Linked DNA regions of Anolis sagrei. The main gene of each other region encodes a partner of the protein of the gene in region 3 in a complex. Links are inferred from orthologs where the notes say so. Each region holds a gene or a part of one and is shown on either strand. Other genes may lie near its edges.

Region 1 (7,224 bases), on a different chromosome or scaffold from region 3:
TACTTCTGTTTTATACCAACATTGAATATTTGCCTTTATTATGCTGGAAGCCGCCTGAGTCCCCTTGGGGAGATAGGGCGGGCTACAGATATATTATTATTATTATTATTATTGGAGGTCCAAACACCTGGAGGACCAAAGACTGTGCAAGTCTGGTGTAGATGCACCCAGAACAAGGGACACCGGTGGAACGTAGTAACACTACTACTAATTATTATTATTATTTTATTTATTACCCACCTCTCCTCATGTCTCAAGGCGGGATTCAAAATAAATGAAAACACATCAACATTGCAGAAACAGTACAGGTACATAAAGGCCCTGAGTCCCTTCAGGGACATAGGACGGGATATAAAGTTATTTTATTATATTATATATATTATTAAAATGTATTTCGACAAGCACTCTCACTGTGCCATAATAATAACTTTATTTTTATACCCTGCCTCAATCTCCCCAAATGGACTAGGGGGAACTTACATGGGGCCAAGCCCAACAAAACAGTTAAAACATAACACATTAAAATGCATGTCAACAAAACAACAACAACATTAAGCGGTATATAAAACAAACATCAAAACCAAACAACCAAAAGCAAAGTTCAATGTCTTGTCATGGATGGTGCCACAACATTAAAGGAAAGAGCTAATGATAGAACTAATGGGTAAAGTGCAAATATCATATAGCAGCAATGAGGATAAGAGCGATTTATCATCAAGGATTTGGATAAACATTGTAAAGTGCTTGAGAACAAGATTCTTGGATCTTAACTGGGGCCAGCTGTCCAGGGAATTGCAATGGGTGTAAGCAAGAAGGGCAGGATCCGAGAACTGGGAGAGATCCCTACACCGCCCGAGCCCTCCCGACAGATGGCCATGCAGCCTATGCTTAAAACCCTCCAGAGAAAGAGATTCTGCAGAACTTCAACTGCCAGGAGGTTCTTCCGAATGTGGAGGTGGAATCAGACCACAGAGCAGCTCGGGCAAAGTTTCTCCCTCCAGGTCTTTTGGACTCCCAACTCCCACAATTCCTAACAGCCTCAGGCCCCATCCTTTTCCCACTCAGCCACTTATGGAAGTCCAAAACACCTGGAGGGTGCAAGTTTGCCCAGGCCTGGCTTAGAGTCTCTTCCAACTCAGGCCTTGTAATGTGGAATGAGGCTGAGGAGGAAAAGGAAAGGGCCTGAGGCTGCTGAGGGGGGAAAGGGCCCGAGGCTGCGCAAAAGGAAAAGGCCTGAGGCTGCTGAGGAGGAAAAGGAAATGGCCTGAGGCTGAGGAAAAGGCAGGGCCCTGAGGAGGAAATGGAAAGGGCCTGTGGCTGCTGATGAAAAGTAAAAGGCCCAAGGCTGCTGAGAGGGAAAAGGAAAGGACCTGAGGCTGTTGAGGTAAAAAATGGAAAGGGCCTGAGTCTGCTGAAAAGTAAAAGGCCTGAGGTTCCTGAGGAGGAAAAGGAAAGGCCGTGAGGCTACTGAGGAGGAAAAGTAAAAGATATGAGGCTGCTGAGGAGGAAAAGGAAAGAGACTGAGGCTGAGGAAAAGGCCTGAGGTTGAGGAAAAGGCAGGGCCCTGAGACTGCTGAGGAGGAAATGGAAAGGGCCTGTGGCTGCTGATGAAAAGTAAAAGGCCTTAGGCTGCTGTAGAGGAAAAGGAAAGGGCCTGAGGCTGCTGAGAGGGAAAAGGAAAGAGGCTGAGGCTGAGGAAAAGGGAAGGGCCCGAGGCTGCCGAGAAGGCAAAGGAAAAGTCCCGAGGCTCCTGAGGAGAAAAAGGAAAGGACCTGAGGCTGCTGAGAAGGAAAAGGCCTGAGGTTGCTGAGGGGGGAAAGGAAATGGGATGAGGAAAAGGCCTGAGGCTCCTGAGGAGGAAGAGGAAAGGGCTTGAGGCTGCTGAGGGGGGAAAGGAAAGGGCCTGAGGCTGCTGAGGAGGAAATGGAAAAGGTCTGAGGCTGCTGAGGAGGAAATGGAATGAGGCTGCTGAGGAGGAAATGGGAAAGACCTGAGGCTGCTAAGAAGGAAATTGAAAAGGCCTGAGGCTGCTGAGAAGGAAAAGGCCCGAGGCTGCTGAAGAGGAAATTAAAAGGGCCTGAGGCTGAGGAAAAGGCAGGGCCCTGGGGCTGCTGAGGAGAAAATGGAAAGGGTTTGTGGCTGCTGATGAAAAGCAAAAGGCCTGAGGCTGCTGTAGAGGAAAAGGAAAGTGCCTGAGGCTGCTGAGGTAAAAAAAAAAGAAAAAAGGAAAGGGCCTGAGGCTGCTGAGGAGGAAAAGGAAAGAACCTGAGGCTGCTGAAAAGTAAAAGGATTGAGGCTGCTGAGAGGGAAAAGGAAAAATCCTGAAGCTCCTGAGGAGGAAAAGGAAAAGAGCTGAGGAAAAGGAAAGGGCCTGAGGCTGCTGAGGAGGAAAATAAAAAGGCCTGAGGGTGCTGAGGAGGGAGAGGAAAAGGCCTGAGCCTGTCCCGAATTGTGGGAGTTGGAGTCCCAAAGAGCTGGAGGGAGGAAGCTGGCCCAAGCCCGGCCTATCGAGTCCAGCCCATGCGCGCGGCCTGGCGAGGCCTCCTTACCAGAGCCGAAGCCCACCCGCACGGCCACTGGCCCCGGGCGAGGAGGGAAGGGGCGAGGAGCGGGGTCTCCTCAGACCCAGAGAAAGGAGGGGCGGGAAGCGGAAGTGGGGAGGCGGGACTTCCGCCGCCGCAGCGCCGCCTGCCCTAACGCGAGGGGGCGGGGCCGGCGAGGGAGCCGAGGAGGGCGGGGGGAGGGGTCTCCTAGGCGACGGAGCGGGTGGGCGTGGCCCCGAGGGAGCGGGCACGGCGGGAGGGGGGCTTCCATGGCAACGGGAGGGGGCGTGGCTTACCTTTTGCTGGGGGAGGGAGGGGGGAAGAGGAGGAGGAGGCGTGGCCTCGGCGCGGATCCGCGTCTCTCTCTCTCTCTCTCCTTCTCTCTCTCTCTCTCGCGGGGAGCTCCGTCCTCCTCTCGCCGCTTGTTTGTGTTTGTAACCAAAATGGCCGCCCTCCTCCTTCTCGTCACGTGACGCGACTGAGCCTAGCGCGCATGCGCAGACCAGGGGGAACAAGACGAGTGGGGCGGGGCTTGAAGGGGAAAGAATGGAAAGGGTGGTACTGCGCAGCCGCAGAAGATTCGAACTCGCTTTTTCTGTGTACGCATGCGCAACCTAGGAAAAGCCTCTCCAAGGGGGTTTTCTTGCACGCATGCGCAACCTAGGAAAAGCCTCTCTCAGGGGTTTTCTTGCACGCATGCGCAAACTAGGAAAAGCCTCTCTAAGGGGTTTTCTTGCACGCATGCGCAAACTAGGAAAAGCCTCTCTAAGGGGTTTTCTTGCACGCATGCGCAAACTAAGAAAAGCCTCTCAGGTGTTTTCTTGCACGCATGCGCAACCTAGGAAAAGCCTCTCTGAGGTTTTTCTTGCACGCATGCGCAAACTAGGAAAGGTCTAAGGGGTTTTTCTTGCACGCATGCGCAAACTAGGAAAAGCCTCTCAGGTGTTTTCCTGCACGCATGCGCAAACTAGGAAAAGCCGCTCTAAGGGGTTTTCTTGCACGCATGCGCGAACTAGGTTAAGGGAGTTTAAATGTACGCATGCCCAGAACGGTTTGTACTTGGTATAATCGTCTCGCCGCTCTCATCCGCGCGTGCGCAAAGCGGCGCAAGGGCATTTGTACGAGATCGGAGGAGCGGTGTCCACGTGACCTTGCCTGCCTGCTTTGGCGCGCTCTCGCCGCTAGAGGCGCGCTCCCGGAGAGAAATGCCGAAGGGGATTGGTCGGCCCTCGCCCTCGTCACGTGATCCCCGCCTGGGCCTAGCCCGTGACGTCATCACCACCTCTCCGCCATCGAGTCGCAAAATGACGTCAGCAAAAGGGGACGTGGGCACGAAATATTTGTACTAAAGGTCGGATTGCATCGGAATAATAGACCATAGTTCCTCTCAAAGTTGCAGCACGTTTACTCCATTAATTACCTGTTTTCCTTCATCCAAAAATTACCTCAGCTTTACTCCAATATTACCTCAGGTTCGCTTCAATATTACTTCGGGTTTACTTCAATATTACCTCATATTTGAGTTGTTGTAGGTTTTTCAGGATGTCAGGCCATGTTCCAGAGGCATTCTCTCCTGACGTTTCGCCTGCATCTATGGCAAGCATCCTCAGAGGTAGTGAGGTCTGTTGGAAGTAGGAAAAATGGGTTTATATATCTGTGGAATGACCAGGGTGGGACAAAGGACTCTTGTCTGCTGGAGCTAGGTGGGAATGTTTCAACTGACCACCTTGATTAGCATTTGATGGCCTGGCAGTGCCTGGGGAAATCTTTTGTTGAGAGGTGATTAGAGAAGCAACTGGAACCAGGAAAATGGGTTTATATATCTGTGGAAAGACCAGGGTGGGACAAAGGACTCTTGTCTGCTGGAGCTAGGTGTGAATGTTTCACCCTAATCACAACCCAGTGATTCCAGCCATGAAACTCTTCGACAATACCTCATATTTACTCGAGCATTAGGCATGAGAGGTGGGTCCGGAAGCAGCTCTGAGCCTTACGCTCTTTCCACTTCGCTACTTTGGGAGCCCTGTTTGCACAACACAGAAAGGAACACAGGCATTGCAGAAGGAATGTCAGAGTTCTTTAATGATAAAACCCTAACCCTAATCCCTTAACCTGAACCCTATCCCTTAACCCTATTCCTAACTCTTAACCCTAATCCTAATTCTAACCTAACTGTAATCCTAAACCAAACCCTAATTCTAACCCAAACCCCAAACCTTACCCTAACCATAAACCCTACCCTAACCCTAATCCTAATCCAACCCTAAACCTTACCCTAACCCAAACCCTAATCCTAACTCTAATTCTAACCCAAACCTGAAATCTAACCCTAATTCTAACCCAAGCCCTAAACCTTACCCTACGCCTAAGACTAACCCTTAACCCTAATCCTAACCGTAATCCTAACCCTGATTCTAACCCAAACCTAAAACCTTACCCCAAGCCAAACCCTAACCCTGAACCTAACTGTAATCCTAAACCAAACCCTAAACCTTACCCTAACCCTAACTGTAATCCTAAACCAAACCCTAAACCTTACCCTAATCGTAAACCTTACCCTAAACCTTAACCCTAATCCTAACCCAAACCCTAATTCCAACCCTAAACCTTACCCTAACTAATCATAACCATAAACTTAAACCTTAACCTTAATCCTAATCCAAACCGTAATCCTAATCCAAATTCTAACCCTAACCATACCCTAACCCTAAGTCTCACCCCTAACCCTAACCTTACTAAACCTTTCTATCCTTTCACCAAATGCAACTACGAAGTATATTCCCGCCCTCAGTGTCCCATTCTCCCCTTCCCTTATTCAGAACCACTGTTGCGGAATGGGCGTAACGCTTGGCGCTTCCAGACCCAGCTATCATACTCTCACCGAGCATTATCTCAAATTTACTTCAGCATTACCTCAGGTTTACTCCCATATTAGCTCCAGTTTACTCCAATATTACCTCAAGTTTACTACAATATTGCCTCATATTTAATCCATACATTACCTCAAATTTACCCCCACATTACCTCAGATTTACTTCAGTATTACCTCAGGTTTACTCCCATATTAGCTCCTGTTTACTCCAATATTTCCTCAGATTTACTGCAATATTGCCTCATATTTACTCCATACTTTACCTCAAATTTACCCCCATATTACCTCAGATTTACTTCGGTATTACCTCAGGTTTACTCCCATATTAGCTCCAGTTTACTCCAATATTACCTCAGGTTTACTGCAATATTGCCTCATATTTACTCCATACTTTACCTCAAATTTACCCCCACATTACCTCAGATTTACTTCAGTATTACCTCAGATTTACTCCCATATTAGCTCCTGTTTACTCCAATATTACCTCAGGTTTACTGCAGTATTGCCTCATATTTACTCCATACATTATCTCAAATTTACCCCCACATTACCTCAGATTTACTTCAGTATTACCTCAGGTTTACTCCCATATTAGCTCCGGGTTACTCCAATATTACCTCAGGTTTACTGCAATATTGCCTCATATTTACTCCATACATTACCTCAAATTTACCCCCACATTACCTCAGATTTACTTCAGTATTACCTCAGGTTACTCCCATATTACCTCCGGTTTACTCCAATATTACCTCAGGTTTACTGCAATATTGCCTCATATTTACTCCATACATTACCTCAAATTTACCCCCACATTACCTCAAATTCAGTATTACCTCAGGTTTACTCCCATATTACCTCCCGTTTACTCCCATATTACCTCAGGATAACTGCAATATTGCCTCATATTTACTCCATACATTACCTCAAATTTACCCCCACATTACCTCAGATGTACTTCAGTATTACCTCAGGCTTACTCCCATATTACCTCCTGTTTACTCCAGTATTACCTTAGATTTACTTCAATGTTACCACAGGTTTACTCCAATATTATCTCAGATTTACCCTGGACATTATTCCACAGGTATAGTATATACACTCCACTTGCCTCCCTTCCAACAGAGCTCTGAACAAACTTCTGAGGATGCTTGTCAAAAATGCAGGTGGAACATCAGGAGATAATGCTACTGGAACATGGCCATACAGCCCAGAAAAGTCAGGGCAACCCAAATTAACGTTTACTACAACTAGAAGTAGAAGGCCTGAAATTTGGGATTTGTACCTAGGTTCTGAGAGTGCCTTGGACTGCGAGAAGATCCAACCAGTCCATCCTCCAGGAAATAAAGCCCGGCTGCTCACTGGAAGGAAGGAGACTAGAGACAAAGTTGATGTCCTTTGGGCACATCATGAGGAGACAGCAAAGCCTAGAGAAGACAATGATGCTGGGGAAAGTGGAAGGCTAAAGGAAGAGGGGCCGACCAAGGGCAAGATGGATGGATGACATCCTTGAAGTGACTGGACTGACCTTGAAGGAGCTGGGGGTGGTGACGGCCGACAGGGAGCTCTGGCATGGGCTGGTCCATGAGGTCACGAAGAGTCGGAAACGACTGAACGAATGAACAACAACAACAACCTACCTATGGCACTATTTTAATAACCACTACATAAGGAGATGGCAATGAGAAGCATTGGACCTTGGAGCCAGGGATGGTGTTTCCTAGAGGAAACATTCAAGTACAGGTGTGGGCCAACTTCAGCCTTCCTTCCAGGTGTTTTGGACTTCAACTCCCACAATTCCTAACAGCCTAT
Region 2 (7,081 bases), on a different chromosome or scaffold from region 3:
ACATATATCTCCAGAAACCACAGTAATATATATATATATATATACACACACATACACATACACACACACACACACACACCGTAAATAAATAAATAAATATTTGTGTATATATGTATATTTGAATATATGTGTATGTGTGATTTTGTTAATGCATTATAATTATATATTTTTTAGCTTTTAAGTCTCTTCTGGTGTGTTTTTCAGTGTTTTTATGAATGATGGTCACTTGCTGACCTGATACATGTATTTTGTCCAAATTTGGTGTCAATTCGTCCAGTAATTTTTTATGTTAATCCCACAAATGAACATTACATTTTTATTTATACCTAGCTGTTCCCTGCCATGTGTTGCTGTGGCCCAGTCTGTGTGTGTGTGTTTTGTGTGTATATATGTGTGTGTGTATATTTGTGTACATGTGTAGTTTTGTGCGTGCGTTGTAATGTAATTTTCATTTTTTAGCTTTTTAAAGTCTTATCTGCTGTGTTGTTAGGTATTTTTGTGAGTGATGGTCACTCATTGGACTGATAGGTATATTGTGTCCAAATCTGGTGCCAATTTATCCAGTAGTTTTTGAGTTATGTTAATCCCACAAACGAACATTACATTTTTATTTATATAGACTAGCTGTCCCCTGCCACACGTTGCTGTGGCCCACTCTGGTGGTCATGGGGTTTCTGTGTGGGAGATTACGCCCAATTCTATCTTGGTGGGGTTCAGAATGTTCTGTGATTGTAGGTGAACTATAAATCCCAGCAACTTCAACTCCCAAATCTCAAGATTCTATTTCCCCCAAACTCCCCCAGTGTTCACATCTGGACATATTGAGTATTCATGTAGAGTTGGTCCAGATCCATCCTTGTTTGAGTCCACAGTCATCTTTGGATGTAGGTGAACTACAACTCCAAAACCAAAGGACACTGCCCACCAAACCCTTCCAGTATTTTCTGTTGGTCATGAGAGAACTGTGTGCCAAGTTTGGTTCAATTCCATCATTGGTAGGGTTCAGAATGCTCTTTGATTTCAGGTGAACTATAAATCCCAGCAACTACAACTCCCAAATGACAAAATGAATTTTTTTGAGTGAAGGACATACATTGGCTTGTTAAGTGTCTTGTGTCCAAATTTGGTGTCAGTTCATTCAGTGGTTTTAGAGTTATGTTACTCCCACAAACGAGCATTACATTTTTATTTATATGGATTATATTATTTTATTTTATTTTATTTTTTATTTACAGTATTTATATATTGCCTTTCTCAACCCTGGGGGAAATATATATATGCATGTGTATGTATGTTATGTATATGTATGTATATATATGATGGATAGAAATCTATTATATATAACACATACATATCTATGGCTCCAGAAAACAGTGTGTGTGTGTGTGTGTGTGTGTGTGTGTGTATATATATATATATATATATATATATATATATATATGTTTGTATTATTGTTGTTAAATTGCTTGTATTGTTGTTGTCATTGCTTGTATTGTTGTATTCTGGGCTCGGCGTAATGTAAGCCACACCGAGTCCTCTGGGGAGATGGTTTGTTGTTGTTCATTCGTTCAGTCGTCTCTGATTCTTCGTGACCTCATGGACCAGCCCACGCCAGAGCTCCCTGTCGGCCGTCACCACCCCCAGCTCCTTCAAGGTCAGTCCAGTCACTTCAAGGATGCCATCCATCCATCTTGCCCTTGGTCGCCCCCTCTTCCTTTTACCTTCCACTTTCCCCAGCATAATTGTCTTCTCTAGGCTTTGCTGTCTCCTCATGATGTGGCCAAAGTACTTCAACTTTGTCTCTAGTATCCTTCCCTCCAATGAGCAGTCGGACTTTATTTCCTGGAGGATGGACTGGTTGGATCTTCTCGCAGTCCAAGGCACTCTCAGAACTTTCCTCCAACACTACAGTTCAAAAGCAATATTGAATGCAATATTCCTGCTTCTTGGCAGGGGGTTGGACTGGATGGGCCATGAGGTCTCTTCCAACTCTTTGATTCTATGATTCTATGAAAAGCATCGATCTTCCTTCGCTCAGCCTTCCCTAAGGTCCACCTCTCACATCCGTAGGTTACTACAGGGAATACCATGGCTTTGACTATGCGGATCTTTGTTGCCAGTGTGATGTCTCTACTCTTTACTATTTTATCGAGATTGGACATTGTAGCGAGGTATACATTTTTTTTGGTTGTGTCAGAAGTGACCTGAGAAACTGCAAGTCGCTTCTGGTGTGAGAAAATTGGCCATCTGCAAGGATGTTGCCCAGGGGACGCCTGGATGATTTTTTTGATGTTTTAGTATCAAAAAACTTTTATTTGGGGTATAAATAAAGTGTTATTATTATTATTATTATTATTATTATTATTATTAGCATGTATATGTATGTAGAGAGACAGATATTCCATATATATATATACACACACACACACACACATATATATATCTCCAGAAAACACAACAATTTTTACTTGCAGGGAAAATCAAGGCAATGTATTGCCTGGTAAACAGGATCAAGATCAGGGTGTAAAATGCAGAATCTTCCCTATGCCTGGCTACTTACCTCTGCGCAGCCCCCATTGCCAGTTTCCTCCTTGCATTTCTTCTTTCCTGGTTCTTTCTTTTTCTCCCCAGCAACTGCAACCTATAAAGAAAAACAACTGAGATTTGTGTACAGCAGACTTGGGCCAACTTGGGCCCTCCAGGTGTTTTGGACTCCAACTCCCACAATTCCTAACAGCCGGTAGGCTGTTAGGAATTGTGGGAGTTGGAGTCCAAAACACCTGGAGGGCCCAAGTTGGCCCAAGTCAGCTCTAGATGCACCCTACGAGTCTGGAGGTAGCCTCCTCCCCTTTACCTGTGCCTCCGCCTCCATCCTCCCCGCCTGGACCCTCCAGACCACGCCGGCAATGACAGCACCAGAAGCAGAACCCGGAACACGCCGCCCGGCTGGGATGAGTGCACTGCGCAGGCGCGGCAGCTGATGCAACCAGGGGTTCGCGTGGCTCGCTCTGCGTCACTGCGAGGGGGCGGGGCGTGTGGCGTCATCGCTTAGGCTCATGGGAGTTGGAGTCCAGTACGCTCTTCCCCAGGACGTGTATCAGGCGCGCATGCGTGGAAGGGGCTTTCCCTGAAAGGGAGACACTTTCATGTCAGTCCCAGCTGGAGATAGGTTGCAAAACCCTTCTCAAAATATTGTAGCTGCGCCTTAACTAATAAAGAGCTAGATATATTATCTCTCTATGTATCTATCTATGTTAGATAGAGAGATAGATAAATGGTAGACAGAAAAATATATTATATGTGTATATATACATATATATGTATAATGTATTATATATTAATTAATTATAATTATTATATATTTTATATAATTATATATATTATAATATATAATATAATGTATTATATATATATTAATTATAATAATATATTTTATATAATTATATAATTATTTATATATAATTATATTTATTCTAAGGTATATATAATATAATGTATTATACACACACACACACACACATATATATATATATACACATACATACAAGGGTTGAATGAAAAGTAATGCCTCCATCTTCGTAACTCCTCAACAGATGGCAGTACTGGTATGCGGCAGGTACTGGCTTGTTCAGTAGACTCTCCTCTACAGTTCCATCTTGGCGGGAAGCCTTAGCATTGAACGGTTGTGTTGTCAAAGTGTGAAGTATGGAACCTTGCGCAGACGGTCAGTCAATGCGACTTAAGCAATGGGCAGTCATTGAATTCTTGACAATAGAATTCACCTCACATCGCAACATCGGACTTCCACTACTTTCCAACAATGAAGTTATTTTTGAAGAGCAAGCATTTTTCAGATGATGAGACTCTGACTTCCGAAGTCACAACATAGCTTTTGGAGCAACCTGTCAAATTCTACAAGATAGGTTTTAGCAGTTGCTTAAAAAGATGGGGAAAGTGTGTGTCCCTAGGTGGCACCTATGTAGAGAAGTACTAATAACTGTGCCAAGTTTCATTGCTCTCAGCCCACAGGAAGTGGGTCAGGGGAAATCTTCAATGAATACATACATACATATATCTCCAGAAAGCACAGCAATATATATAGATTATATATATAGAATATATATATATATATTCTATCGTTATATTCTATTGCATATATGTATGCATGTGCGTGTATGTGTGTATTTTGTTGATAAGCCCACTCACTCAACATATCGCCTGTTGAATTTTTCATAGGTTTTCTGAAGCATGGAATATTTAGAGTAAGCTCGTCCACTGAAATGCAGCTTACAGTGTGTGGTATTATTCATTGGCTGTCTCCCATCCAGATCTTGATCAGGCTGACCCTGCTTAGCTTCCAAAATCAGAGAGGATCCTATGCCTTGAGGGTATTTAACCCCCTATAATTAAGCATTGTTATTAAGGAGCTATTGGTTAATCCATGCCATGCAGGAAATGGAAAATACAGTGTAAAATCAGATATTAATTATTTTAATTGCTATGTACATTTAGTTTTTAAAATACATTGTTGGCACATGGCTACAAACCTGTCATACATTATCAGGCTAAAAAGAAAAAAGAAACCCAGGTTGAGAAATCCTACATAATGCACTTGGATATTTGCCCAGTAGCTGTGAAAGGAGAGGGGAAGACACAAAGGAAGACATTGCAGCTCAGAAGAAGAATTTTGATTCTCCCCATAGAAAATTTCCTTTAGTCCACATATTTCTAGCATTGCAGCAATATTTAAACTTCATGTGACCATTTAGAAATACACTAGCTATACCTGCCACGCGTTGCTGTGGCCAACCTTCCCTCCCTCTTTCTCTTCTTTCCCTCCTTCCCTCCCTCCCTTTCCTTCCTTCCTTCTCTTTTTCTTCCCTTCCACCCCCACCTTTTTTCCCTTCCTCTTTCTCCCCTTTCTCCCATCTCTACCTGTTCTTGGACTGCAACACCCCGCAGTCCTCCTGATCCACCTGTCTATTTACCTACCTACTGATCTCTATCTATCTGGAGGATTGCTGGGAGTTGAATAGAAATTTGGAAATGTGCAGGAATTCGGATGCTCTCAAATAAATCCAAGGAGAAGAAAGCTTGCAGCTTGGAAGCAGTGTATTTGGATCCCCCTCCTCTCCTAAAGGTCCTGGTCTAGGGGATGCTGGGAGCTGTAGTCTGGAAGAGAGTGTGGATATGCTATTGTGTTTTTTGTTTGCCAGGGGGAGTCGTTTTTGCACATGCGCTGTAGTGCCTTTTTGCATTTTTTGGCTTTTTAAGTCCCTTTCACTGTTGTTTTTTATGTGCGATGGTCACTCGTTGGCGTGACAGGTGTCTTGTGTCCAAATTTGATGTCAATTCGTCCAGTGGTTTTTGAGTTATGTTAATCCCACAAACTAACATTACATTTATATATATATATATATAGAGAGAGAGAGAGAGAGAGAGAGAGAGAGAGAGAGAGATGTTAGGCATTCAGAGAAAAGGGAACAGCAAAGTTACCCTGGAAATGGTAACAGAATACACAAGAGAAATAGGTACAAATGATTCTCATTGCCAACTGCCTTGAACAAACAAGAGATAAAAAGCAAGGTTAAACGACAAAGCGTGGTCAGGTCAGGTTAATGTTGCCTGCCCTGCAGCCGCTTATATTTGCAAAATCACCCTGCTGGGACTCAACAGGGGCAGCTCACAAAAGGGTGCAAGGCCTATGATACAAAATCCTCCAGAAATTTTGAAAAAAAATCTGAAGGATTTCTTTCTATTTATATTTTGCCCTGAAATGCTTTCTAGTATGATATGGGGCATATTTGTCATGGTTTTTGTTTCCTGGGAATATACCTTATACGTGGTTTGTCCCAAAAGTAATGAGAATGATTTTGTTTTTGGGTTGTTGTAGGTTTTTTTGGGCTATATGGCCAAGCTCCAGAGGCATTCTCTCCTGAGGTTTCACCTGCATCTATGGCAAGGATCCTCTGAGGTAGTGAGGATGCTCTGAGGATGCTTGCCATAGATGCAGGCGAAATGTCAGGAGAGAATGCCTCTAGAGCATGACTATATAGCCCGAAAAAACCTACAACAAACCAGTGATTCCGGCCATGAAAGCCTTCGACGATTTTGTTTTTTATTGAACAACATGCAATTGCAGTTCGAAATAGGCTCCTTGTGATCAAATACAGAGTTCCCAGCCTTGCTGCCCCTCTTTATCACAGTGGAGGAAGTCTTCAGTTGAGATGTTGTTGAAAGCCTTTGTTGCAGCTACCTGGACGTTTCCAGCTATCCCAAAATGATATCGTTTGAGGTGGGTTTTGAGTTTGGAGACAGAAATCGTATGGAGCCACAGTCAGGCCTATGCGGTGGGTGGGAAAGTGTTCAGAACAGCCTTCGCACAAATGGGTTCATAGTTAAAAAGAAAATCAACCAGTAGGTGGTAGCAATGTTATATATTTCAGAACAAAGTTGTTAATGACCTTAGGTCTGTTGTGAGTTGTATGGTTTTGTTTTACATCCTGTTGCACTGAACACTCAGGAAATTAGGCCATAGAAGAGGAGTCAATAAAAATTAGCACTCTGGACCATCAGCAGCATGGTCCTCAACTGTCCTAATTTTACTGCGAGAGTCTTATATTTATTTATTTATATTTATATTTATCTGCTTTGAACTGGGTTATCTGAGTCCACACAGAACTGAGTCCACACTGAGAACACAGAAATGCTGGACCACTGTCATAACCACCATGTCAGACTACACAGAGAAGCCATTGAAATACACAAGCATGTGGACAATTGCAACAGAAAGGAGGAAACCATGAAAATGAACAAAATCTGGCTACCAGTATTAAAAAAAACTCTAAAATTGCAACAGCACAACAACAGAGAGGAAACAAACAAGGACATCTAATCACCTCTCAACAAAAGTTGGCTCCATGCACTATCAGGCCATTATATGCTAATCAAGGTGATCAGTTGAAACATTCACACCTAGCTCCAGCAGACAAAAGTCCTTTGTCTCACCCTGGTCATTCCACAGATATATAAACCCTTTTTCCTAGTTCCAACAGACCTCACTACCTCTGAGGATGCTTGC
Region 3 (7,765 bases):
CCTTTGTACATTGTTGTAATTCACCTTGATTATTTAGTAAACAATTGTTAAACTTATTCTTGTTTATAGAGTTTTATTTTGGGGGAATAATAGTAATTAGGGCATATCGATGGTCACTGGGAAAATAGCCAGACACATTTAGGTTTCTTATTAGATGTTCCTGGTGTGCCATCACAGTGATTAGGATCCTGATCGGCTTGTAGCCGTTTCAGATTGCTTATAGAAAGTTATAAGAGAGAGCCCACTCCCTGCAAAGGGGGTGTGAGAGAAGAAAAAGCACTGTTTTCACAGTGATTAGGTGCCTGATCGGCCTTGTAGCCGATTCGGATTGCTTATAGAGAGAGCCCACTCCCTCAGTGTGTGTGTGAGAGAAAAAGGCACTGTTTCCACTTTTCCATTGGAAGGTGTAGCAACGTTGTGGGAATACTTGGGTGAAGTGTTGCTAAATTGAATAATTTTATAGTAAGGAGAGTTAGGGGCAGCTTTTAAAGTAAAAAAGCTGCCTGCCTGCCCTTTTAAAAGATATTGGAGGCTTGTTTCCTGTCAGAGAGTGAAAGGGGCAAGGCTAGCATCTGCTATTTGTCTTAAGGGGGCATTTGGCGCCAAAAGGGGTTTTTTACAGTTTGGCAGCCATTTTGTGTTCATCCTTTAAGGCTACTATAATAACATCAGAACTGTGACAGCCTTATTGTCCCCTCAAAAAGAAGCGGCAGCCATTTTGCCTATATAGATTTCTATGGGATTTGTGCTTATAGTTTAGAAAGAGCGGGAAAAGGTGTTTTGGGGCCTGTTTTCGCATTTTTCTGAGGAAAAGGAGTTACAATACTCTTAAACCTATTCCAGTAAATTGTTGTTTTGCTGTTATAGTATAGGTGGTGACAGCAGGCTGTGTGAACATTTTGCCTCACACTCAGTCCTCTTCACCCATATAGAGTTGTTGCCTCGGCAACCAGCAAACAACAAGAATGGATGGGCTTTCTGATGGAAGTGCAGACAGACATGTACACATTTCCCGTTCACATAGGGTTAGGCACCCCACAGAGAAGGCCCTACAGCTGTTGCTAGAAAGGGAAAGTCGTTTAATTGTGAAGGCAGAAAGTGCTTGGAAACACGTGCAGTATAGCATGAACACCTTGTCAGCTTCCAGAGACCCTGAGGTAATAGCAGTGCATAAAGAAGAGCTCCAGGATAGTTTTTTTACTCTGGAAAACTATTATAGAAAGGCAACAACAAGTCCTTACAAACATCAATGATGATGATGCCCAAGCAAGACTGCAAGCATTGTCATTGGACTATCAAAGTAAAGAAAGAGAATTTAATGCCGTGCTTGAAGCTGCACAGTTTCGGCTTCAGGAATTTCAGCTGAGGGAGGCTTACTCTTTATCCCCTCCTAGAAGCCCCAAGTCCAGCAAGGGTTTCTACCCTCAGCGTCCCCTAAGTGTCAGATCACTTAGCCACCATTCACATTCCAGCAAAAGTGCCTCATCTTCCTGCAGTAAGATTTCTTCTGTGGCAGCTCAACATTTCAAAGAAGTTGAGAGGATGAAGCTCAAGGCGCAAATATTGCAGGCAGAAGCTGAATCGGCTATGGCTGTGAAAGAGCTAGACTTCTCTCAACTAGAAGCTAGACAGGCCATTCAGCAAGCTGAAATGGAAGCCCAGTTATCAGCTTTACAAAGCAAAAGAAATATAACTGAAAAGGCTAAAGAAGCGGTCAAGCTTGCAGTTAAGGCAAAAATTCTTGCCAAAGCTTTTCAGGACGAGTTGATTCCTGAAAATGTTAAGCTGCTGCCTCAGGAGGACATCGAATCAAAGATGTCATTTCTTCTCCTGTCTGACAAAGATGTCACCACCAAAGAGCTAAGCCCTATCTATACCAACACAATAGAGGATCTGCCTAATGCGGAGGGGGAAAGATCTGCACCTCAGCATAACCATCAGCCATCAGCATCAGTCTTTCATGAAGATGAGGGTCCTGTCAAAGTGCAGAAGTCTACAGCGGGGAGCCAGTCCTTTATGCTCTCCACCTGTTCCCCTGTTCCTGCCACCTGGTCCCTCCCTGACCCCAAACCTGAGAAAGAAGTTAAAGTGGAGTTTTTGGACAATGCACCTTGTGTCCAGAATTCCTTCGCCAATCAAACCATAGCCTCAGGTGTGTCTCCTTTGGGTCAGGGCGAAGGTGCAGAAAGGGAAAAGGCAGTGTTTTCTGCACGAAATCAAATGTTTTCCATGCCATCTGTGGCCTGGAACCCCTCCTTCTTCAAAAGCCCCAAGAGAGACTTAAAAGATAAGGGTGATGATTTGAGCTTCTCCAAAGAAGAGCAAAGACTTCTGGACATTCCAAGCAAAGAAGGAGTGCAGTCGGAAGAGGGAAGCTGGATAGCTCCCCTTCCTTTTAAAGACAATAAGCCTGACAAAGTGAGATCAGCCTTTGACTCCAGTGATACATCTGGCACTCCACCTAGCCTTCCACACTCACAGCAGGTGCTGCTTGCCAAAACTGTTGAGAAAGAGGCTCCATGTTCCAGTGGCTGCAACCCAGATTTTCTGGGGTCCAGTGCTCATGCATTCCATTGTGATTCTGAGCAGCTTGAGGCGACAGAGGCAGTGTTCCCTGCAGCATTGCCATCCCACAAGAAGGCATTGCTTAAAGAGTCAGCTTGTCAGGATTCCATTCCTTTGGAGCCGAACACTGTGCCTGATACCAGCAATAGGCCAGATAGCAACAAGAGCATTTCCTGTGCTGAGCCAAGTCGGTGGATTCATGTTGCCGCTGAGGAGAGACCTGCAGATATCATTTCCCGAGGGGCGTCTGCTCGGAGGTTGCTGCATTCCAGCTGGCTGTCGGGTTCCGAATGCCTCGCAGACCCAGGTTCTTCAAAGGACAACACCTTTCCAGAGCTTCCTGAGTCAACTCCAGAGAAGAAAGGTTTGACAGCACTCCAACGAGGACATCAAGGTATGAGACATTGCTTTAAAGGACCAAAGTGCTTCCTGGAACTATTGGCTTATGGGTGTCACCCAAGAAGAGTGTCCGAGTGTGGATGACCATATCAGGAAGACTCCAATCAAGACGGACTCCAACTGAAAGACTGATACTCACCAAAGACTTATCACAGACTTGGTGGTTTTATTAAAAGTTTAAAGTTTGTTGTATTTAATTGTATAAAGTGATTTGTTATAGTTTGTATATGCAAATTTGTTCCAAATTTGAGCGGGGAGTGTGATGTCTTGGCCTGTTTATTTCTCAGTTGGACTGTTCCATTTTACCAAGTTTAGGGGAGAGCTTAGGTTCCCCCTAGAGGCCGAGCTCGGTTGGTGTGCAGCCCATTCTGACTCAGAGCCAGAATGGGCTGGTTATAGAACTTTGTTTCCCTTTCTTTGTTAGTCTTAGCTTATAGATAGTTGCCAGATAGTGTCTGGTCTGGCCTAGCAATTTGAACAGGCCATCCTAATCACGTATTTGCCAAAGCTTATAGATAGATAGTCATAGATAGAATAGTTAGATTTGCCTTATAGATAGATTAGATAGTACATATACATAGAATAGTTATAGCCGTATTTGCCTTAGAGTTTATAGATAGATAGTTTGTAAATGCCTTATAGATAGATAGAATAGATAGTATTTGCCCTAAAGTTTATAATAGATAGTTCATAGATAGATAGTTACATCATTCCCCATAGTGTATAGTTATATTTACCTCAGAGTTATACCATCATAATTAATCTTCACCTTTGTACATTGTTGTAATTCACCTTGATTATTTAGTAAACAATTGTTAAACTTATTCTTGTTTATAGAGTTTTATTTTGGGGGAATAATAGTAATTAGGGCATATCGATGGTCACTGGGAAAATAGCCAGACACATTTAGGTTTCTTATTAGATGTTCCTGGTGTGCCATCACAATAATAATTATTTATTTAATAATAATAATAATAATAATAATTTAGATTTATTTTTATTTTATTTATTTAGATTTATTATCTAAATTATTATTTTATAATAATAATAATATAATTATTATAATATTATATAATAATATTGTAAATTATAATTATTATTTATTTAATAATAATAATAATAATTTAGATTTATTTTTATTTTATTTATTTAGATTTATTATCTAAATTATTATTTTATAATAATAGTATACTTATTATAATATAATATTATAAACTATAATTATTATTATTTAATAATAATAATAATAATAATTTAGATTTATTTTTATTTTATTTTATTTAGATTTATTTTATTTTATAAGGAATGATGTCCTGAGTTTATAAGTTGAGATCTAGGTCAATAATCAATAATCTTATTAGTTTACAAGTTGAGATATGTTTAAACAGGGGCTCGATGGCCATCTGTCAGGGGTGATTTGAATGCAATATTCCTGCTTCTGGGCAGAATGGTTGGACTAGATGGCCCATGAGGTCTCTTCCAACTCTTTGATTCTATGATTCTATATGTTTATGAGAAATGTTGTCCTAAGTTTACAAGTCGATATATATAAGAAACAATGTTCCAAAGTGAACCCGGAAATATCACATCTAGAAGTACAGAGATACCACTCTATATGTTCTATCTCTGCCTGTCGGGGAGCGGTCTTTCGAGTCTTTCGAACGCGGCTAATTTTACAACCATAGACAACTCGCGGCATAAAGAGCGGCCCACAGGAAGTAGTGTGGCCTGGATTGTAGTCCCGGGTCCGGGTGGAAACAGCAACCGGAAAAAGATTGGTTCCGCCTGGGCGGAAGTGAAGGGAGCGTATGGAGGCAGAGGAGCGGAAGTCCGGGGCAAGAAGCAAAGCAGCGGCTGGCGAACGACCGAAGAGGATGAACAACAAATTCGACGCGTGAGTCCGGGCCTCAGTGGCGCTTTTAGGCCTCAAGGCAACATCCTAAATCAAAGGAAGGAGCAGACAGTTTTCAATGGCATTCCTACAGGCCTGGTCGAGTTTGGGCCTGCCCTCCAGGTGTTTGGGACTCCAACTCCCACAATTCCTAATAGCCGGTAGGCTGTTAGGAATTGTGGGAGTTGGAGTCCCAAACACCTGGAGGACCCAAGTTTGGAAATACTTGTTTGTAAATATAAATCAAAACTTGTGATTGGAATGGCTTTTGGACTATGATTTCAGGGGTTATGTGCTATATCTCAACTGCTTATTTAAATATATTTATTTGTTGCTCTTTTATGATTTAATGCACAATGTATTTTGTATGTTGTAATGTAGCACTGAATTATTGCCAATTTGGAAGCCGCTTTGAGTCCCCTTCGGGGTTGAGATAGAGCAGGGTAAAAATACAATAAATAAATAAATAAATAAATAATAACCCCAGAAGAGCGGCTTACAAGTCATAAATACATACAACATACTACATAATACATAACTACCATAGTACTATTACATCATTCATAACACTAGTACTACATAATATTACATTATTGCTGGGGGAGGGGCGCTGATGTCACAGGGGACAAGATGGCAATGTCCTCCTGGCTCCCCTTGTTTATTCTGGCCCCAGAGTGGCCGTTGGTGCTGGGCATTACAGCAGGAATTGGCCCTGGATTGATGAATATGATTATTTGACTCTCTGGCTTTGGATCTATGCACAATAGTCATGTAATATTTACATATGTTGTTATAATGTTGTTTTAAATGGTTGATTAATTGCTTTTAATTGATATTGCTGTTTGGGCATGGAATAATGCCAATTATGTAAGCTGCCCTGAGTCCCCTTTGGGGTGAGAAGGGTGGGCTATAAATGTCCTAAATAATAAATAAATAAATATCTCCTGACTTCTTCCTATGTCCACATTAGGGAATATTACAAGATGAAATTGTCTCTTTTGGGTGATTTATTAAAGTCTGATTTTGTGTGCATAGATTTCCCCCTTTGACTGTGTCTGGTTGTGCTGTATTTTTACACACATTTGAAATGTGCACATTTTTCTGTTAGCCACATCTGCAGCCATCCAATAATGAAGCACTTTCAGATCCAATCTATTTAGTTTAACATCTAGTGAAGTTGAGTGCAATGGCTTTTCCCTTACCTTACCATTTACCTTATCTACACAATGTCATACAGTAGGGATAGGTAACTAAGTACTAAAGGTTGAGCATCTCTTATCTGAGATTCCAAAATACTCCAAAATGCTCAACATGAGTGGCTGGGATAGTTACACTGCTGCTTTCTGGTGGTTCAGTTCAGTGTACACAAACTTTGTTTCATACACAAAATTATTAAAAATATTTTGTATAAAATTACCTTCAGTCTATGTGTGTAAAGTGCATATGAAACATGAATGAATTTCACATTTGGACTTCAGTCCTACCTCCAAGATTTCACATTATGCATTTGCAATGATTAAAAACCAAAAATACCCAAAATGTGGATTTCCTGGTCCCATGCATTTCAAATAATGGATCCTCAACTTGCATTAAAAACTGCACTTGAAATTGGTGTAAACACATGCATCTGTTCAGTTCATTCTGTGTGTTCCCATTTTCCACGACTCTGAAGCTGAATTTGTCCATGTTTTCCCTGCATGTAAAACCCACAAATTCTTAGGATGGTAATGCAGAAAAGTTCTTTTATCACATTGAATCAGTGGTCTGAAATTGTAATCCATGAGCTATTTTGGAATTTGGTCCCTAACTAGTTTTGCCAATTCTTAGAAATTATAGAAGCTGAAGTCCAAAACATGTGGAGGACCAAATTTTCAGAACTACCCGACTGAACAGAAAAGGACAAGTAACAGGACACTTGTTCAGCATCCAAAGTGCAATTTCTGCTTCTTTTAAAAATCTCTGCTCTGTCTCAGTAGCCTGAATCCATCAGTCTGGTCTAATAATAACCACAGTCTGTCCTTTAGATTTTGTTCTATGCTAAACATAGTTGCTCCTTCATGCTTTCAAACTGATTCCTTCCTTCCTTTCTTTGCTAGTTTGAAGGATGATGACAGTGGAGATCATGACCAGAATGAAGAGAACAGCACACAGAAAGATGGTGAGAAGGAAAAAAACGATAGAGACAAATCCCAAAGTAGCATCAAGAGGAAGGTATGTCCTTGCCTCTTCCCTAGACTGAAGTGTCTAGTGGAGGATTGTGACAGGGGGGTTTTAACCTGTTGCTCCAGAACCAAGAGGATACCTGTGAATAAGTCATATTAAAGCCCATCAGGCCTCTATTCCATTTATCTCCTTGTGAAAGAAAACAGTGCAAACTTTTCCAGTGTGTTGATTTTGAAAGCAGAATCTGTAATGCAGGTAATACACCATTTCTACAGTTCACTAGAAGGATTGAGTTGTTGATGTGGAGATTTATTTTCTAAAGTCCAATTCCCAATACAAGGAGTTCATTCACACTACCTCAGAGGATGCTTGCCATAGATGCAGGCGAAACATCAGGAGAGAATGCCTCTAGAACAGGGGTCCTCAAACTTTGTAAATAGAGAACTAGGTCATAGTCCCTCAAACTGTTGGAGGGCCGGATTATAGTTTGAAAAAAAATATGAATGAATTCCTATGCACACTGCACATATCTTATTTGTAGTGCAAAAGACACTTAAAAAGAATACAATAATTAAAATGAAGATTTTTTTAAACAAATATAAACTTATTAGTATTTCAATGGGAAGTGGGGGCCTGTTTTTGGATGATGAGATAGGATTGTTCTTGTGTGCTTTCAAGTCATTTCAGACTTAGGTTGACCCTAAGCGAGGACTGGGTAAATGACCTTGGAGGGCCGTATCCAGCCCT
Region 4 (7,356 bases), on a different chromosome or scaffold from region 3:
CATAGATGCAGGCGAAATGTCAGCAGAGAATGCTTCTGAGGATGCCTGCCATAGATGCAGGCGAGACGTCAGGAGAGAATGCTTCTGAGGATGCCTGCCATAGATGCAGGCGAAACGTCAGGAGAGAATGCTTCTGGAATATGGCCTTACAGCCCAGTAAACACAACAACCCAGTGATTCCAGACATGAAAGCCTTCAACAATACATCTAGCTATGGTTATTAAAGTGATGTAAAACTGCATTAATTCTACAGCGGAGATGTGGACCCCAAGGCAACCTATGAATCATTCTGTAATTAAGACGTCATTCAGCACTCTGCACGTGGTCAGAGGCACTCAGGTATGTTGCAATGGCTCTCAATCAGGTCCAACTAATCACCTCCCAACAAAGGATTCCCCCGGCAGGAAGCATCCAGGCTTTGAAGCTGCAAGGCCATTCAATGCTAACCAAACCGGTCAACTGCAACAAACAGACAAGAGTTCTTTTTCCCACCCTGGACATTCCACAGAAACCCCACTTGTCTAGCTTCCAATGGACCTCACAACTGGGTTTTTGTAGGTTTTTCGGGCTATATGGCCATGTTCTAGAAGCATTCTCTCCTGACATTTCACCCACATCTACAGTAGGCATCCTCAGAGGTAGTGATGCAGGTGAAACATCAGGAGAGAATGCTTCTAGAACTTGGCCATATAGCCCGAAAAACCTACAACAACCCAGTGAATCAAGCCATTAAAGCCTTCGACAAGACCTCACAACCTTTGAGGATGTCTGCCATAGACGTGGGCGAAACGTCAGGAGAGAATGCTGCTGGAACATGGCCATACAGCCTGAGAAAGTCACAGTGACCTAGTGATTCCGGCATTTGACAAGACATAGGACAAGTTTGCACGCAAGGCTGATAACTATCAGTCCAATGAAATAAACTGTGACGGTTTCCCATCCCTTGCTAAGTCTTATGCAATCGACAACTTTTACTCTGGAATTGCATCAGATCTTCCACTTAAATATGCTTAGGGTTGAGAAACTGCAAGTCGCTTCTGGTGTGAGAGAATTGCCCGTCTGCAAGGACGTTGCCCAGGGGATGCCCGGATGTTTTGATGTTTTACCATCTTTGTGGGAGGCTTCTCTCATGTCCCCACACGGGGAGCTGGAGCTGACAGACGGAGCTTGTCTGCGCTCTCCGCAGATTCGAACCTCTGACCTGTCAGTCTTCAGTCCTGTTGGCACAAGGATTTAACTCATTGCGCCAATAAATGAATGCTGGTGCGTCCTTCACAAACTGCAAATCCCAGGACTTCATCGCCTTGAGTAATTAAAGTGGGATGGAATTGAATTAATTCTGCAGCGTAGTTGCACCCATGGCCTGTTCTCCAGTGGGATAAATAAGCATTAACATTGCATTCCGTGCTGCGCTCCATTGGGGTGCAAGCGGTGACATTCTTTCCGCCTGTGTCCATCCCACCCATGTGCCTGCCAACTGGAAAATAACACAGCGGGCATCTGATGCAGGCTCTGGTCCATGAGCGCTGATCCAGCATTGAACCTGCCAGGCTGGGAAGGGCCCTCTCTGCAAAACACTCCCCAGGCAGGAGAGGAGAGAAACACAGAAGAACCAGGTCTGCACTCACCATGGAATGCGGTTCAAGGCTGGCTTCAAGCAACAGTGCTTGTGGGCTGAATGCTCTGAAGCACTCAGCCCACAAGTAGAAACATTAAGACACCACCCTGCACTTTGCACATGCTCAGAGGCACTCAGCTCACAAATTTTAACATTATGACACCACTCTGCACATGCTCAGAGGCACTCAGCCCACAAGCACTCTGCACATACTCAGAGGCACTCAGCTCTCAAGCATCAACATTAAGATGCCACCCAGCACTCTGCACACTCTCAGAGGCACTCAGCACCCAAGCATCAACATTAAGACATCAGCCATCACTCTGCACATGCTCAGAGGCGCTCAGCCCACAAGCATCAACATTAAGACACCACTCTGCACATGCTCAGAGGCACTCGGCCCATAAGTATCAACATTAAGACGCCACGCTGCGCTCTGCACATGCTCAGAGGCACTCAGCCCACGAGTATCAACATTAAGACAAAACTCTGCACATGCTCAGAGGCACTCAGCCCACAAGCATCAACATTAAGACACCACCCAGCACTCTGCACATGCTCAGAGGCACTGAGCCCACAAGTATTAACATTAAGACGCCACACTGCGCTCTGCACATGCTCAGAGGCACTCAGCGCACAAGTATCAACGTTAAGACACCACCCAGCACTCTACACATACTCAGCCTACGAGTATCAACATTAAGATGCCACTCTGCACATGCTCAGAGGCACTCAGCCCACAAGGATAAACATTAAAACGCCACCTTGCACTCTGCACATGCTCAGAGGCACTCAGCTCTCAAGCATCAACATTAAGATGTCTGCCAGAGCTCTGAACATGCTCAGAGGCACTCAGCACACGAGTATCAACATTAAGATGCCACTCTGCACTCTGCACACACTCAGAGGCACTCGGCACTCAAGCATCAACCTTAAGATGCTGAGTGTCAACATTAATAATGTTGACACTCAGCTCTCAAACGTCAACATTAAGACTCCACTCTGCACACACTGAGAGGCACTCAGCCCACAAGCACCAGCCAGCACTCTGCCCATGCTCAGAGACACTCAGACTGCAATTCTAAAACAGAGCTAAGTATTCCCGTGTCTTAAAGTCACATCCAAGGGCTAAGGAAGCAACTGCAGGGATGTCAACACGAGAAAGGCAGCGTCCAGGTGTCGCGGCTCACCTCCGGGCGTGGTGCCGAAGAGGGTCCCCCCGGGGGTGGTGCTGTAGTCTCCAGGGGGCAGGGTCACTCCTTCGGGCAAGTGGAGCCTCTTGGCCGGGATCAAGGCCGGCGGAGAGCGGAAATAGGTGGCTGCGGAGCTCATGGCGGACTGACTGCCTGCGTGTGTCTTCTCCGGCGGGGAAACTCCACTGGCGGGCGCGCTCTCTTCCCGGGACGCCCCCCGTCGAAGCCCCGCCCCCCGTCTGCCAGGACACGCCCCTCCGCTCTCACAGCCCCGCCTCCGTTTTAGCCCTGAATGTTTTTTTCTGGACTTCAATTCCCAGGATTCCCTTCCATTGTCCCAGTCAGCGGAGACTTCTGGGAGTTGAAGTCCCAAAGTCAAAAAGTGGCTTTGCTCTATTCCTTTGCCACCATATTAACTTCTATGGAAATGTACAGTTTTGTGGGATACTAAGGCTCCTTCTACACTAACATATAAAATCCGGATTCTCTGTTTAGAACTGGATTATATGATAGTATAGAATCATAGAATCATAGAATCAAAGAGTTGAAAGAGACCTCATTCATGGGCCATCCAGTCCAACCCCATTCTGCCAAGAAGCAGGAGTATTGCATTCAAATCACCCCTGACAGATGGCCATCCAGCCCCTGTTTAAAAGCTTCCAAAGAAGGAGCCTCTGTATAGACAGAGGCCTCTTCTGCAACGCCATATAAAATCCAGATTATCTGCTTTGAAGCGGATTATATGTAGACTCAGCCTCCTTCTACACCACCATATACAATCCAGATTATCTGCTTTGAACTGGATTATATGACAGTGTAGACAGAGCCTCTTTCTACACCGCCATACAAAATTCAGATTATCTGCTTTGAGCTGGATTATATGGAAGTGTAGACTGAGGCCCCTTTTACATCAACATATAAAATCCGGATTATCTGATTTGAACTGGATTATATGGCAGTGTAGACTGAGGTCCCTTTTACATCAACATATAAAATCCGGATTATCTGATTTGAACTGGATTATATAGCAGTACAGGCAGAGGCCTCTTCTGCAATGCCATATAAAATCCGGATTATCTGCTTTGAACTGGATTATATGACATTGTAGAATGAGCCCCCTTCTACACCGTCATACAAAATCCAGATTATCTACTTTGAGCTGGATTATATGGAAGTGTAGACTGAGGCCCCCTTTACACCAACATATAAAATCCGGATTATCTAATTTGAACTGGATTATATGGCAGTGTAGACTGAGGCCCCTTTTACGCCACCATATAAAATCCATACTATCTACTTTGAACTGGATTATATGACAATGTAGACTGAGGCCCTTTTTACACCAACATATAAAATCCGGATTATCGGATTTGAACTGGACTATATGGCAGTGTAGACTGAGGCCCTTTTTACACCAGCACATAAAATCCGTATTATCCGATTTGAACTGCATTATATGGCAGTGTAGACTGAGGCCCCTTTTACACCAACATATAAAATCCAGATTATCGGATTTGAACTGGATTAAATGACTGTGTAGACTGAGCTCCCTTCTACACTGGCATGCAAAATCCAGATTATCTGATTTGAACTGGGTTATATGACAGTGTAGAGTGGGCCTCCTTCTACGCCGTCATATAAAATCCAGATTATCTGCTTTGAACTGGATTATATGACAGTATACACTGAGCCCCCTTCTACACCGCCATATAAAATCCAGATTATCTGCTTTGAACTGGATTATATGACAGTATACACTGAGCCCCCTTCTACACCGCCATATAAAATCCAGATTATCTGCTTTGAACTGGATTATATGACAGTGTAGACTCATATAATCCAGTTCAAAGCAGATAATGTGGATTGTCTGCTTTGATAGTCTGGATTATATGGCAGTGTAGAAAGGACCTAAAAGAGCTGTCAGAATGGAAGACCCATCTCTTCTGGCAGAAGAGTCAATTTATCATGAGTTTTGATTTACCCTCTACTACTATTATATGTCAATTCTGTATCTGTGTTTTGTGCAAGTGTTTTATATTTTTGTGTTTTTATCTGTGTAATTCATTGTATACTTATTTTATGTTCATGTTTTTGACTTTGTTGTACCCTGCCTCGAACTATAATAAGGGGTGGGTAATAAATAAAAGGTATTTTTACTATTTGACACACAACAAGATTGGCACATGGCAAACAAGATCACTATGTTGGCTTTTGTATTGGATCACATTTTGGACACTTTCCAAGTGTCTAGGACTATGTGATGTAGCGGCCAATAATGCATACAGATCAGAGAAAGGTGGCCTTCTGCAGCTGGCAGATGGTAATTTTGTCAGAACCGATTGTGTTTAAGTGCAGGCCAAGGTCTTTAGGCACTGCACCCAGTGTGCCGATCACCACTGGGACCACCTTGACTGGTTTGTGCCAGAGTCTTTGCAGTTCTATCTTTAAATCCTCATATCGTGTCAGCTTTTCCAGTTGTTTCTCTGCAATCCTGCTTTCGCCTGAGATTGCAACATCTATGATCTATACTTTGTTTTTTTCCATGAACGTGAGGTCAGGAGTGTTGAGCTCCAAAACTATGTCTGTCTGAATTCAGAAGTCTCAGAGTAACTTGACGTGTTCATTTTCCATAACTTTTTGCGGCTGTGATCCCACCAGACCTTTGTGGCAGGCAGATGGTGTTTGTGGCACAAGTTCCAATGAATCATCTGAACAAAGGTGTTGTACCTCTGTGTGACGGTGTGAGTGGCACCACCTATATGTAGAACTGTAAGTTGCAGGATTTGAACTGTTGTATCAAGCCCGATTTTGCCTTTTTACCCTGTAAATGTATAGTTGGATTGTGTTGTTGTAGGTTTTTATGGGCTATATGGCTATGGTCTAGAGCAGTGGTTCACAACCTTCCTAATGTTGCGATCCCTTATTACAGTTCCTCATGTTGTGGTGACCCCCAACCATCAAATTATTTTCGTTGCTACTTCATAATTGTAATTTTGCTATTGTTATGAATCGTAATGTAAATATCTGATCTCCAGGATGTATTTTCATTCACTGGACTAAACTTGGCACAAATACCCGATACGCCCAAATTAGACTACTGGCGGGGTTGGAGGGGTTGATTTTGTCATTTGGGAGTTGTAGTTGCAGGGATTTATAGTTAACCTACAATCAAATAGCATTCTGAACTCCACCAATGATGGAATTGAACCAAACTTGGCACACAGAACTCCCATGACCAACGGAAAATACTGGAAGGATTTGGTGGGCATTGACCTTGAGTTTTGGATTTGTAGTTCACTTGCATCCAGAGAGCACTGTGGACTCAAACAATGATGGATCTGGACCTAACTTTGCATGAATATTCAATATGCCCAAATGTAAACACTAGTGGAGTTTGGGGGAAAATAGACCTTGACATATGGGATTTATTGTTCATCTACAATCAAAGTGCATTCTGGACCCCACCAACAATAGAATTAGTCCAAACTTCTCACACAGAACTCCCATGACCAACAGAAAATACTGTTTTCTGATGGTCTTTGGTGACCCCTCTGACACCCCCTTGCGACCACCCTGGGGGTCCTGACCCCTAGGTTGAGAAACACTGGTCTAGAGGCATTATCTCCTGATGTTTCACCTGCATCTATGGCAAGCATCCTCAGAGGTAGTGAGGTCTGTTGGAACTAGGAAAACTGGGCGGATCTTCATCTTTATTCTCATGGCTACCCAGAGGAAAAGTGTTCTTGCCATACATTAAGGGAAAACACAACCTATAAACTATCTACAGACCCACCAAGAAAATCCAACAACTGCTTCGTTCAGCAAAGTACAAGAGGGATCCCCTCACCTCTGCAGGAGTCTACCGTGTACCATGCAGCTGTGGACAAGTCTACATAGGGACCACCAAATGCAGTGTTGCCCAAACACGAATCAAGGAACATGAAAGGCACTGCAGACTACTTCAACCAGAGAAATCAGCCATAGCAGAGCACCTGAGGAACCAACCTGGACACAGCGTATTATTTGAGAACACAGAAATGCTGGACCACTCTCACAACCACCATATCAGACCACACAGAGAAGCCATTGAAATACACAAGCATGTGAACAATTTCAACAGAAAGGAGGAGACCATGAAAATGAACAAAATCTGGCTACCAGTATTAAAAAAACTCAAAAATTACAACAGCACAACAACAGAGAGGGAAACTAACAAGGACATCTAATCACCTCTCAACAAAAGTTTGCTCTAGGCAATGTCAGGCCATTATATGCTAATCAAGGTGGTCAGTTGAAACATTCACACCTAGCTCCAGCAGACAAGAGTCCTTTGTCTCACCCTGGTCATTCCACAGATATATAGTTCCAACAGACCTCACTACCTCTGAGGATGCTTACCATAGATGCAGGCGAAACGTCAGGAGAGAATGCCTCTAGACCATGGTCATATAGCCCGAAAAAACATACAACAACCCAGTTATTCTGGCCATGAAAGCCTTCTACAATATATAGTTGGATTGATTGGTTATTTATAGCTGTCAATCA

Evidence for each region. Proteins that work in one complex are often made in the same cells at the same time.
Region 1: the proteins of EIF4E2 (region 3) and GIGYF1 are in contact, whole or in part, in a crystal structure (PDB 5NVK), measured with the Homo sapiens proteins. The link is inferred for Anolis sagrei from reciprocal best matches to the Homo sapiens genes EIF4E2 and GIGYF1. Residues at the interface, in NP_004837.1 of Homo sapiens: His54, Pro55, Leu56, Gln57, Tyr64, Lys83, Gln84, Ile85, Gly86, Val91, Glu92, Trp95, Arg96, Phe97, Tyr98, Ser99, His100, Met101, Val102, Arg103, Leu107, Phe113, Ile137, Arg138, Leu139, Arg140, Gly142, Leu143, Ser145, Arg146; in NP_001362694.1 of Homo sapiens: Leu36, Ala37, Asp38, Tyr39, Arg40, Tyr41, Gly42, Arg43, Met46, Leu47, Leu49, Tyr50, Glu53, Asn54, Lys55, Val56, Pro57, Glu59, Leu60, Glu64, Phe65, Ala67, Val68, Leu69, Gln70, Asp71, Glu72, Pro73, Leu74, Gln75.
Region 2: the proteins of EIF4E2 (region 3) and TARS1 are in contact, whole or in part, in a crystal structure (PDB 5XLN), measured with the Homo sapiens proteins. The link is inferred for Anolis sagrei from reciprocal best matches to the Homo sapiens genes EIF4E2 and TARS1. Residues at the interface, in NP_004837.1 of Homo sapiens: His54, Pro55, Leu56, Gln57, Val91, Glu92, Phe94, Trp95, Arg96, Glu149, Asn150, Leu153, Leu156, Gly157, Glu158, Gln159, Met161, Val203; in NP_001245366.1 of Homo sapiens: Pro51, Glu52, Tyr53, Ile54, Tyr55, Thr56, Arg57, Met60, Tyr61, Ile63, Leu64, Glu67.
Region 4: the proteins of EIF4E2 (region 3) and EIF4EBP1 are in contact, whole or in part, in a crystal structure (PDB 5NVN), measured with the Homo sapiens proteins. The link is inferred for Anolis sagrei from reciprocal best matches to the Homo sapiens genes EIF4E2 and EIF4EBP1. Residues at the interface, in NP_004837.1 of Homo sapiens: Glu53, His54, Pro55, Leu56, Gln57, Tyr58, Tyr64, Arg66, Lys83, Gln84, Ile85, Gly86, Val91, Glu92, Gln93, Trp95, Arg96, Phe97, Ser99, His100, Met101, Val102, Leu107, Phe113, Glu149, Asn150, Leu153, Gly157, Glu158, Gln159; in NP_004086.1 of Homo sapiens: Arg51, Ile52, Ile53, Tyr54, Asp55, Arg56, Phe58, Leu59, Met60, Cys62, Arg63, Ser65, Val67, Thr68, Lys69, Thr70, Pro71, Pro72, Asp74, Leu75, Pro76, Ile78, Pro79, Gly80, Val81, Thr82, Ser83.

Annotation. Positions count from the first base shown.
Region 1 is NC_090026.1:2,531,673-2,538,896, reverse strand, and holds the start of GIGYF1 (GRB10-interacting GYF protein 1), read right to left. Parts: upstream 3,008-7,224; 5' UTR 2,840-3,007; intron 2,637-2,839; exon of another isoform or gene 2,550-2,636; intron 1-2,549. UniProt on the Homo sapiens protein: May act cooperatively with GRB10 to regulate tyrosine kinase receptor signaling. May increase IGF1 receptor phosphorylation under IGF1 stimulation as well as phosphorylation of IRS1 and SHC1.
Region 2 is NC_090022.1:280,718,791-280,725,871, forward strand, and holds the start of TARS1 (threonine--tRNA ligase 1, cytoplasmic), read right to left. Parts: upstream 3,008-7,081; 5' UTR 2,873-3,007; coding exon 2,855-2,872; intron 2,642-2,854; coding exon 2,561-2,641; intron 1-2,560. UniProt on the Homo sapiens protein: Catalyzes the attachment of threonine to tRNA(Thr) in a two-step reaction: threonine is first activated by ATP to form Thr-AMP and then transferred to the acceptor end of tRNA(Thr).
Region 3 is NC_090023.1:265,347,304-265,355,068, forward strand, and holds the start of EIF4E2 (eukaryotic translation initiation factor 4E type 2), read left to right. Parts: upstream 1-4,749; 5' UTR 4,750-4,772; coding exon 4,773-4,858; intron 4,859-6,951; coding exon 6,952-7,066; intron 7,067-7,765. UniProt on the Homo sapiens protein: Recognizes and binds the 7-methylguanosine-containing mRNA cap during an early step in the initiation. Acts as a repressor of translation initiation.
Region 4 is NC_090027.1:10,773,176-10,780,531, forward strand, and holds the start of EIF4EBP1 (eukaryotic translation initiation factor 4E-binding protein 1), read right to left. Parts: upstream 3,008-7,356; 5' UTR 2,951-3,007; coding exon 2,809-2,950; intron 1-2,808. UniProt on the Homo sapiens protein: Repressor of translation initiation that regulates EIF4E activity by preventing its assembly into the eIF4F complex: hypophosphorylated form competes with EIF4G1/EIF4G3 and strongly binds to EIF4E, leading to repress translation.